Macaca fascicularis: one gene and its partners. The protein of the gene in region 3 purifies or fractionates together with the protein of the main gene of each other region. This does not show direct contact. Links are inferred from orthologs where the notes say so. Each region holds a gene or a part of one and is shown on either strand. Other genes may lie near its edges.

The links.
Region 1: the proteins of PSMB3 (region 3) and PSME1 purify together in Homo sapiens (affinity purification with mass spectrometry; 4 studies listed by BioGRID and IntAct, counting the BioPlex papers as one, with this or other methods). This does not show direct contact. The link is inferred for Macaca fascicularis from reciprocal best matches to the Homo sapiens genes PSMB3 and PSME1.
Region 2: the proteins of PSMB3 (region 3) and PSME4 purify together in Homo sapiens (affinity purification with mass spectrometry; 3 studies listed by BioGRID and IntAct, counting the BioPlex papers as one, with this or other methods). This does not show direct contact. The link is inferred for Macaca fascicularis from reciprocal best matches to the Homo sapiens genes PSMB3 and PSME4.

Annotation. Positions count from the first base shown.
Region 1 is NC_088381.1:91,949,774-91,953,518, reverse strand, and holds the start of PSME1 (proteasome activator complex subunit 1), read right to left. Parts: upstream 2,274-3,745; 5' UTR 2,159-2,273; coding exon 2,120-2,158; intron 1,437-2,119; coding exon 1,404-1,436; intron 1,282-1,403; coding exon 1,219-1,281; intron 1,105-1,218; coding exon 994-1,104; intron 906-993; coding exon 860-905; intron 726-859; coding exon 628-725; intron 379-627; coding exon 310-378; intron 232-309; coding exon 164-231; intron 81-163; coding exon 26-80; intron 1-25. UniProt on the Homo sapiens protein: Implicated in immunoproteasome assembly and required for efficient antigen processing. The PA28 activator complex enhances the generation of class I binding peptides by altering the cleavage pattern of the proteasome.
Region 2 is NC_088387.1:67,886,210-67,889,954, reverse strand, and holds the start of PSME4 (proteasome activator complex subunit 4), read right to left. Parts: upstream 2,723-3,745; 5' UTR 2,447-2,722; coding exon 2,205-2,446; intron 1-2,204. UniProt on the Homo sapiens protein: Associated component of the proteasome that specifically recognizes acetylated histones and promotes ATP- and ubiquitin-independent degradation of core histones during spermatogenesis and DNA damage response.
Region 3 is NC_088390.1:59,738,627-59,742,371, reverse strand, and holds the start of PSMB3 (proteasome subunit beta type-3), read right to left. Parts: upstream 2,419-3,745; 5' UTR 2,351-2,418; coding exon 2,348-2,350; intron 2,028-2,347; coding exon 1,843-2,027; intron 1-1,842. UniProt on the Homo sapiens protein: Non-catalytic component of the 20S core proteasome complex involved in the proteolytic degradation of most intracellular proteins. This complex plays numerous essential roles within the cell by associating with different regulatory particles.

The DNA of each region.
Region 1 (3,745 bases), on a different chromosome or scaffold from region 3:
GCACCCTGACCTGGGCCTCACCTACCACATGGGGCTGCTTGGCTGCTTTAGTCACTGCATCACCACGCTCAGAGAAATACCTGTGGAAGGAGAAGTGTGTATGGAGTAGAAGAAGGAGGTCTCTGTCCCAAAACAGACAGTGTGTACATGGGTGGTCACTCACTTAGAGATTTGGGTGTGGAAGCCTTCTAGCTTGGTGTGGAGGCTGGTCATCAGCTCAAACACCTTCTCCTAGGGAAAAAAAGCAAGGGGGAAAGTAGAAGGAAGCATGGACTAGAAAAGAGCAGGGAAGTGGGGCAGCACTCTCACCTGGACAGCCACTCCAAAATTGTTACCATCCTCAATCCGAGGTATCTGCAGCTGCAACCAGGTGGTGACCTGGGAAGAGGGAATGGCGTAATGCCACATCAGCCCTCTATCCAATTCCGTTTCATATTCTCCCTTGCTTCCCTCCCCACACTGGCTGGAGGCATGCCAGGTCTCTCCTGAGCCTCAGAGCCCGGACTTCTGGTTTCACTTGCTGTGCCCTCTCTTGCTAAAACCTGGCATGTGCCAGGCCCTAAATGGCAGGGACTAAGAGGACAATGGTTTGACTTAAAGCCTGAGAGTTGAAGGGGGAGAGCCTACCAGGTTGAGCTGCTCAATGACATCCTTGATCTCAGGCTTCAAGCGCTGCAGAAGGACCAAGATCTTTTCATTGCAGTTCACTGGACCACAGGGAGGACCTAGAGAGTGAGCAATGGGTCAGTCACATGATTGAGCCTGTGTGAGGGTTGAAGGGGAGAGTAGAAAGAAATCCTTAGGAGTAGCTCCTGTGGGTGGGACTCAAGTCTCTTCCCACAATTGTGGTTTCAAGTACCTTTGTCTTCATCCTCCCCCTTCTTCTTTTCATCCTTGTCTTCCTTCTGCAGAAAAAGAGGGGCTCATGAGAGTCAGGACTAAGGTTGATTACCCCCATGGTTGGATCCCTTCTCCCAGGTCTTCCCAGCTTGCCTCCTGCTGTTTCTTCCGTTCCTCTTTCTCTTTCTCCTTGACTGGATCAGGCACTGGGATGTCCAACGGGGCCTTCAGATTGCTCAGGTTGGCTTCATTGAGAGCTGGCTCCTGGTGTAGGGTGGGAGGAGGGCTGGAGGTGAGGGGGTTCCTTTCACCTCACTCTCACAGCCCCTGACCCTTCTCTTGGCCTTTACTCCCTAGCTCCCTGCCCAGCTGCGGTACCTTTAAAAATGCATCCAGCTCAGAAATCTTCTTGGGGAAATAGCTCCCGAGCAGGTTCTCTGTCTGTGTGTGAGGTGGGATGGAGAAGGATGGGAGTCAGCATCATATGCCCATCCTAGGTGGTGAGGCAGGGTTGAGCAGTAGGAGTTGGGCAGGGGTGGGGCCGCTGATGGGGCATGTCTTACCTTGGTACAGAGGTCTTCACGAAACACATCCACCTGTGGGGCACATGCATCCCTTCAGAAACTTGGCTTTAAGGCCAGTTCATTTGAGGACAGTTCCCTTAGGGTTATGTAGGGCCTGACCTGGGGAAGGGTGGAGGGGATCCCTCTAAGGCCAGACCTGAAGAAAGCGAGATGGATGCCTGTGGGGTGGGTTGGGGTGGTGGAGGAGTGGAACTCTGCAGACCTGGATCTACGGAGAGTGGAATGGGTATCCCTAGGGCTGGATACGGGGGATGAGAACATTCCTGGCAGTGAAGGGCCAGTGGTTCACGTGAGACCAGATCCCTGGGGTCGCCTGGCAGGTGTGAGGAGGGGTGCTGAGAGCCCTCTGCGAGCAGGACAGGGACGGGGTGGGCCCCGGGACCCTCCCTAAGGGAAAGGCCACGAGGTAGCTGGGGCAGTCCCGCATCCAGTCTGTGTGTGGCCCCGGCTCCAGGCCAGCGGAGTTCCCCTCCACGCCAGCTCTCCGCTTCACCTCACCCCACAGAACCACGGCCGCCTCGCCTGTCCCCGCAGGCAGCAGTCACCGCCCTCCCCGGGGCGCAGGTGCTCCGGGAGCGCCAGCTCGGCGGACTGCCCCTGACTTGTGTGGGAGTCTGGGGGGCGGGTCGGGGATGCCCCCGGCCGCTCGAGCCACGCCTCCCCAGTGGGCCTTTTCTAGACCCCGCGGCGCTCACCTTGGCTTGGGCCTCGGGCTGAACCCTGAGCGTGGCCATGACCGGGACGGGGGGCCTAGCGCCGCACGAGGAACGGAGTGGGCACCGCGAAGGGAAAGCGAAAGCGGCGCTCGCACCACTCACGGCCTTCCTGGGTAGTGGGGCGGGGAGGGCTGGAGGAGGCGGGGTCAGCCCGGCCAGGGAGAGGTGCAGTGCAGCAGAGGAGGGCGGCGGGTGCGGCTCCCCCTAGCGCGCACAGGCTGCCTCGCGAGGGCCAGTTTCCAGCCTCCCCACCCCCGCCGGCCGGGTCCCCGCCTCCCCGCCCTCCTCTCGTCCCCGCCTCCCGCCTCCCGCCTCCCGCCTCCCGCCTCCCGCCTCCCGCCTCCCGCCTCCCGCCTCTCGCCACTCGCCGCCCGCCGTCCGAGGACGCCGGGTCCTCCCATCGTCTAGTCTAAGCCAGTCTCTCCGCGCCCCGCCCTCCACCTTCCGCCTCCCAACTGGCTCCCCACCTGCTCTCTTCTTCCCCTGCTCCGCCTGGGACAGATAAGTCTTACTTAGGGCTCTTCTGTCTTTCCCCAGAGATGGAATAAGACCTGGCCTCTCTTTCCTAGCCTTGCTAGCGTGGGCCTCTGGCTCTGCCGACATCCTCCGCACCTGTAGCAACACCGGCACCAGAGCCGACAGCATCCCTATCCAAGCCCGGACCAGCTCTCTCCTGGACCACCGCGGCATATGCCATTCTACAGCCCACTCTCACAGAGCAGCGGGTTCATGCCTCTGTCTGGCTTAAAACCCTTTCTCAGCTGCCTGTTGACCTTAGAATGAAATCCAAAAGGCTGTTGCAGCTGTCTCCCCTTTAAGTTCACTTTCTACTACTTGCCCCTTCATTCATTACACTTGCAAATACTCGGGCTATTTGTTTCCCAAATGTGTCATGTTCATTCCTGCCTCAGGGCCTTTGCCCTTGCTAATAATCCCTTTGTCTAAAACACACTTACCCTGGGTGTTGTCATTCGGTTCTCAGTTTAGATGTCACCTCTTCAGAGACAACTATTTTCATCATCCTCTATAAGGAACCTCCCTCCAAATGCATTACAAATCAGCCTGTTTTAGTACATTCATAGCATTTATCTCTGATATTAGCCCGGTTTTTTTTTTTTTCTCCCCAGGATAATTCACTGATTTAAACTAGCAAACTGTGTGTGTGTGTGTGTGTGTGTGTGTGTTGGGGGACAGAGTCTCACTCTGTCGCCCAGGGTGGAGTGCAGTGGCACAATCTCAGCTTACTGCAACCTCCACCTGCTGGGTTCAAGCGATTCTCCTGCTTCAGCCTTCGCAGTAGCTGGGACTACAGGCGCGTCCCACCACGCTCGGCTATTTTTGTATTTTTAGTAGAGATGGGGTTTCACCATGTTAGCCAGGATGGACTCGATATGCTGACCTCGTGATCCGCCCGCCTCGGCCTCCCAAAGTGCTGGGATTACAGGCATGAGCCACTGCGTCTGGCCAGCTTTTTCTATAAAGAGCCAGAGAGTAAATTGTAGGCTTTATGGGCCTTACAGTGTCTGTCTACTCAACTCTACCATTGTAGCAGGAAAGCTGCCATATGTAAATGAATTAGTATGGTGAGATCAATAAAACTTTACA
Region 2 (3,745 bases), on a different chromosome or scaffold from region 3:
ACTTTCCCACAGTCTCAGGGCTAGTGGGAGAAACTAGATTTTCTTTTCATTACCACTTTCTATTCTACGAAGTACTAAATATGATCACCACTCAAGCTTTCGTCACACGTTTTGGCATTATTCAGATGTTCACTTATGCAACACAGAAGGCTTAAAAAACAAGCACAACTATAAACAGGTCACCTTAACATGACTTAGGAAAAAAACACACCCAAGATCACAACATGTCCCACTGCATTCAAAATGTCTCATAGTGCAATAACAAGACTCAGTTTCCAGCATTTAACCATTACACCAAAACAAAATTTTACCCGATAGCATTTCTTGTTGGTTATTTAGATATAAATGGTTATAGGTTCATGGGTATTAAGCCATCAGCAATCCAGCCCTAAACACCAAACATTAGCTCCACTGTTATTTTTAGCCCTTTCTAAGTAAAAACTTTTACCTAATAAGCCAAAATAACAAAACCCGGAGTGCTAATTTACCAAACTTGATAACAATAAATACTTCAGAAAACAATGTTTAAGTATGCCTTGGTAGATTCTAGGTTCATAAATCCAAACCAAATATGCCTTCGCACCATGGCATATGTATATACTGCATATCTAAAAAAAGCTGGCTGCGTCCCCAAAAATGGTAGGTATTCTCCCAGCAAGTCTAATCCAAGTGATTAAAATGGGGAATCACTGTAACAAAGTGACTATTTTTACTGTGCCTGAGTAACACAAAAACCTAGGAGTCTCACTTCAAAAAGCATTTGGATTGTAACCATTTATGAAGTATTCTTTTTTTGACTAAACGTGGTTCTCCCTGTTGCATTCCTGCTTCTGCCGCCCCTCACCCCCATTCTCTTAAGGATCGTTAACACCAAAAACTTCTTTATACTCTAGTCAGGAGGAGAGTTGTTAACCTTGACATTTTATGATCACTCTCTGAAGAGGGCAAATTACATGTTTCAGTTTTGCTTCTTTTTAATTTTAGTTCCCACCCACCCCTCAAGTGGAAATGAGAAATTTGTCAGAGGCTCCTTAATAATTGGCAGACGAGAATCATCCAGTGAAGAAATATGGACAAAACTATTACAAAACCCTGAGTCATCACTCAGTTCAATCAGTAGATTTGGGTAAACACTGAATGAGTGACTTACGTCTTGTGTGTTCACCCATCCATACCCACATGCGTGAACATACCATGTTACTAGATTTTATGTACAGTTAACCAAACAAGATAAAGCAAAATTATTTCTTAAAAAGCTCTTCGGACACAGTAAAGATGCCCACCCAGCAGGTAAATGTAACCTTTCCTCCCCCACTGTATTTTTATTCTTTGTTTTTTGTTTTTTTTCTAATTTCAGTGACACTATAGTTTGAAGCTAGTTTACAAACAGAACTCCTGAAACTGATTCAGGTAATCTATGTTAATCTGAGTAACTCAAAATATTAACACAAGCCTGATACGAGTATCGCCGTGGACATCCTGACAGTACTCTTCCCTACTTTCCTCAGTATCTTAAAGGCCTCTCCAAAAGAAATGTCACAACAGGAACAACACACAATCCTTAGGATCTTAAACAACATTGTCCACATTAACGTCTAAGACGTTAAGCTCAAGAATGAAGTCTGACTTTAAACCAACCTTTTCGATCAACTCCGCCAGGTCTGAGCGGGCCCCAAAAAAGCAGAACCCTTAAGTTTCCCAATGGTCTCCTTTCCATTCAGAAAGTTACTAGACGCCAACGGAGATGTGAAGAGGCGGGGATCGTAGGGGAAGGAAGAACCGGAGGAAGCAGGGAGAGAAGTCACAGAACTCCCCCAAAGGCAAATCCTCTCTGCCCCGCCTCTCCTATGCGCAAAGATCCACGGAGGACCCTTGGGAAAGGCTCACCTCTCTCCCTCGGGGCCGGGGCCCTTGGGCTCCCCAGGTCCCCCCAGGTGGGAAGACAACAACCCGAACACTTCAGGAGAAGCAGATGGAGAGGACGTGCAGGGCTGGTGAGGACCCGGGAATCCCGGTAAGAAAGTGTCAGGGAGGACGGCTTGAGTGCTTCACAGGCTCTGTCACGACCCTGGGACCACCGCTCGGGGACAGCTCCAGCGAGGACAGAGCTAAGGGTCCAGTCCTCTGGATAAAGAGCACCCATCCCCGACACCTCTCACTAAGCCTCTCCCCCCGGCCCGGCCTGCAGGCCCGGGCACACTTACGTGGAGAGTTTCCTGGTCCAGAAGAGGCCCCCGGGCCACAGCTCTTGGAGCTGCACCGCCCGGCCCAGGTTGCATTTGATCTGGGCCAGCTGCAAGTCGGACTCGGCGTCTAGCCGCTCGGCGTAGGGCAGCAGCTTGTTGTAGACGATCTCTTTCTGCGGGACGAAGCCCCGCGGGCCCGGCTCGGAACGCCCGCCCGGCTCCGGGGGCTCTCCGACTCTCGCCCGTTCGGCCAGCTCCATGAGCCCAGGGACACCCCCCCTACCCCCTCCCACCCTAACCCTCCCCGACCCCCACCCCTCTCCGGGCTCCGCCTCCTCCGCGTCTTCGTCGCCCTGCGGCCGCCGGCGGCCCGTCGCCCTCTGACCGATCGCTAGGCCCCCTTCCCTGGCCGGCGTGCTGCTGGGCCCCGCGCGGTTCCCGGTTCGTTGGCGGCGGCAGCGGCCGCTCTGCCCGCCCCGCACCGGCTCGGCTGGTGACGCTGCAGCCGCCGGGCTCAGAGGTTCCGGACCGGTCTCAAGTCACTTCCGGGGCGGGGCGGGGCGGAGCGACGGCGTCGGGGGAGGCGGTGGTGGCGGCAGCTGGAGCCCAGCGGGCCGCGCCTTCCTTGCCGTGGGCCCGGCTCGGAGCCCCCACCCCGGGCCTCACCGGCCCAGCGCGAGGCTGCCTCACCGGAAACACGAGGCCGAATTCCAAGCTATTGTCCTGCTTCGCCGGGGGTCGCGCACTCCAGGCGGCGCCCACCTGAGCCCCAGTCGCGGCGACAGGTTCGCCAGGTCGGCCTGGTCCCCCTAGCCGAGCAGCCCCGGCTTTTAGGTTACAGGGATTTATGGAAAAGCCTACGTACCCACTTGCTCCTTAGAGATTTATTTACTCCTTCCCGCTTGTTCCTTATAGATTTAATTATTCTGTCCCCTTTTAGTCCCCATCTTTCTGGTATTCTGGCCGCCATCATTCCAAGGAAGAAAATCGTTAACTCACTGAATAAATGCTAATTGAACGACTGTCTCGTGTGTAAGGCACTCCGTTTAGGCTATTGAGATGGAAAGTTTACCCTGGTTTCCGCCCTCCCAAGGACTTAGTCTAGCAGAGATAAAGACGTGAATTACAAGATAATGCTCTTAATTGCTAGATAAGTACAGGAAGCCTTAGAAACTCTACAGAGAAGTTCAAACTAGGGGGTTGAGAGGGTGTCAGTTTCCTAGAAGTGATACTTAAGCTGTAAGGGTTGAGTGCAAAGTTGATTAGAAAAAGGAGGGAGGAGAACACGTATTTAGCTGAGAGAACAGCTCTTGAGGCTGCAAGCATGTATTCTAAAAATTCAAATTTCAAAATAGCGTAAGAGAGGGGACGGAGAAATGAGACTGAGAAGGAAATCCTAAGGAATTCAGAGCTTTATCCTAGAGACAAACTTCCAAAAGATTTTAAGCATAGCAGTGGGATGATATAATTTACATTTTTAAAGAATCACTCTGGCGGCCGGGCGCGGTGGCTCACGCCTGTAATCCCAGCACTTTTGGCAGGCCGAGGCGGGCGGATCA
Region 3 (3,745 bases):
GAGGCTGAGGCAGGAGAATGGCGGGAACCCGGGAGGCGGAGCTTGCAGTGAGCTGAGATCCGGCCACTGCACTCCAGCCGGGGCGACAGAGCCAGACTCCGTCTCAAAAAAAAAAAAAAAAAGAAATGAGCTTCATCTTCCAGGTAGGGAAACTGAGGCCTAGTGAAATGGGCAGTTATTGCCCACAAACAAGCAAACGTGGTGAGAAAAGCCCTCTGAAGAAAAGGAAATGGTGTGAGAACAGCAGTGACTGGAGAGGGGAAGGCTCACAGGAGACTTCACACTGACAGGAACCCCAGGATGTCATTCTCTGACTCTACCAGGATAGGAAAAAAGGGCTGCGAGATCTCAGTGTTATGTTCTTGAGACTCAGGGAGTTTTAAGAGAAATGAGAACATTTTCTTTTTTAATTGCCTTCTTTTTATTTCTGAGACAGAATCTCACTCTGTTGCCCAGGCTAGAGTGCAGTGGCACAATCTCAGCTCACTGCAACCTCCGTCTCTCAGGTTCAAGCAATTCTCCAGCCTTAGCCTCCCGAGGAGCTGGGATTACAGGTGATCACAACCACGCCCAGTTAATTTCTGTATTTTTAGTAGAGACAGGGTTTCACCATGTTGGCCAGGCTGGTCTGGAACTCCTGACCTCAAGATATCCGCCCACCTCCCAAAGTGTTGGTATTACAGGTGTGAGCCACCGCGCCTGGCCGAAATGAGAACATTTTCTGACAGGCATCCACCCACACTTGTGAACTAGTCTCTCCACCTTCTAGGAAACAAATCCAGGACCTGCCGCTCCTCAGGCCACCAGTACCCTGCAGCACCTGCCCCCTGTGACCACATATTCCCTCCTGAAAGCCTATCGCCATTCTTTTCCTCTCTTCTTATTATCTGGTTTCTCTTGTCGCCTCACTGCTAAATGTAAGGTTCAGCTCTTAAACTGCTACTCATTATTTCCCTCTCTACAGACTTTGTCTCTCCAGAATCTGCTCCCATAGATTTGGCACATTGCCAATGCTTCCCCAACCCTGAGATGTAATATCAAAACCCCAACTGTTTGTAAGATGTTTCTGTTGGGCTTGCCTTGTCCCCTCAAAATTGGTGTCAAAATCAAAGTCAGGCCAGGTGCGGTAGCTCATGCCTGTAATCTCAGCACTTTGGGAGGCTGAGGCAGGTGGATCACTTGAGGTCAGGAGTTCCATACCAGCCTGGCCAACATGGTGAAACCCTGTCTCTACTAAAAATACAAAAATTAGCCAGGCATGGTGGTGCGTGCCTGTAGTCCCAGCTACTCAGGAGGCTGAGGCACAAAAATCGCTTGAGCCTGGGAGGTGGAGGTTGCAGTGAGCCAAGATCACGCCGCTGAGCTCCAGCCTGGGTGACAAAGCAAGTCCCTGTCTCAAAAAAAAAAAAAAAAAAAAGAAAGAGAAAAAAGGGAGGGACACGTTTCTGGAGACAGTCTCGCTCTTTAGGGACTGAGCGCTGACTTCGGCCTTAGAGAGACTCGCGTGGGAATCTTGGCTGACACTCATTGACTTTGCTTCTTGGGCAAGACACTCTCTGAGACCCTCAGTTTCCTCATCTGCAAAATGGGATGGCAACATGGAATCCTCAGGGAGAGGATTAAGTAAGTCCATGAATGTGAGGTGTTTTCCACAGAGCCTGGCACAGCGGAAATGCGGGTAAAAGTTGGTTAGGATACATCTCTGTATCGCTATGGTGTGCGGCAAAGTCTCAAACTCACTGGTGGTGTGTGGTAGATGACTGACACCTTGGCCGGTCAAGACGCCAGGGGAGGATGGTCCAAGAAGAGACCTGGGTGTGGGCAGGGACCCTTGAAACTTACACTGTCTGGACGTCAGTGGCGAGCCCGGCCAGACCGATGTACAGCCGGTCACCCATTGGAAAGATCTTCTGGAAGTCCGTGGTCACCATCTGGGCCTGGATCCCGAAGCGCCTGTCTGCAGCGATGGCCACACAGTTCTTCCCCTTCATGGCCATGACGGCCCCTCCGTTATAGGACATAATAGACTAGGACAGACAGAGCGAAGGGGTCAGCGCGGGGGGTCAAACGCTGCGACAGCCCCCGGCCCAGCTCCTGATGCGGAGGCTCCTGTACGCCCGTTCTCCATTCCGGAGGCGCCTGAACCCCTGGTTCTCCAGCTGGGATGAGCACTGTGTGGCGGCGATGAGCCGCACTCACCCTCTTGGTCCTCACCGGGGTCCGCTCCCCTCGAACTGAAACCGTTTCCTTCCATCTACCCTTGGCCCTTTTCGTCCCCAAGCCTCTCCCGACCCCCTCCGCTTCTCAATCCTTCCCTGTGCTCCTTTGCTTTAACTCCCCATCTCACCATGATTGCGGTGTACTAGGACCCCTCGATCGCCGGAGCAATTCCAGTAAACCGGGTCTAGCCTTCACTGCGCAACCGCTCTCGCTGCTGTCTCTTTATTGGCTGATAGGCGGACTCTTCCTGGACATCTGGGCTTTCTATTGGTCCCGCATCCCTGTCGGTCACCAGTACAGGTAGTTTGGTTGCAAAGTCAAAACGGAGGCGGGAAAAGCGGAAGTGAAAAGTCACTGTGGGTGCGGAAGAGGCTTGCAACACGGTGCATAGTGGGATCTCGGCGGACCTGACTCGGGACTGGGGGCGGAGCCTGCGCGCACGTGGGCTGGTGAAACTGGGTTTAGGGGGCTGCGGCCCCAGCTGAAGGGGCACCGTGACGCTTATCACCGTGATGTATGAGTTCGTCCTATTAGTCGTGCTAGCTTATTTATTCACTCCAGAAATCCTTACGTTTACTGTGTACCAGGCACTTGCCTAGGCTCTGAATAGTCACTGGCCCACAACAGTGCCTGGTATATACGAGGCGCCCATTAAATGTAAATTTAATGATGCAGGTGGGAAGTGGAAGGCGTCGCGGGTAGGCGTCGTGGGTATTCTGCGGCTGCAGGGGTTCAGCTGCGAAGGGGAGTTTGGAAGCCCAAGGCTGTTCTGATTTGGGGGACTTCCTGCGCTCCGACTTCACGTATCTTCAATCTCAGGTCACCCTAAAAAAGGATGTTCCGGGCCTCTCCACGTTTGAGGTAGAACCTGAGGACAGCCAGTCGACCTCTCGCCAAGCCAATGGAGGAAGGGGGTGCACGTCCCGCGTCCTCTCCTCCCAAGCCCTTTCGTCCCCCTCCCCCATCAGGATCCTTCCCTTTCTCCCCCGGGTTCCACTTATTTCGCCCGATGGCGGCATCTCTTACGGCGTCTGCACCGTCCAGGCTCGCTCCCATTGACTCGACTCACCACCACGCCAGCAATCGTCGCGGTCTCTGTGGCGCAATCGGTTAGCGCGTTCGGCTGTTAACCGAAAGGTTGGTGGTTCGAGCCCACCCAGGGACGCGGTGGGTTTTTTTTTTTTTGTCTTTTGGGTTTTGTTCCCCCCGCCCCCCGTAAGATAAAAACCTAAGCCTTTTACTCAAAAGCCAAATTTTGCATAGAAATGGCAGCAGCAATACTTTTTCTAGGAGAATCACTGTTCTTGAAAATTCTTTGCTGCTCAGTCAATAATGGGATAATTTATCTAGCACTTCCCTCCACACCCCCCACCCCGCCTCCAAGCTGGATGGCAGGAAACCTAAAGACAGAGGTTTTGTTTCACTGTGCAAGGAACATGTTTCAGGATGCATTTTTTCGTGGGATTAGGCATGAATTTACAGTGGAGGTTCGACAGTTTTTTATTGTCTGCCTCAGTCGATATTA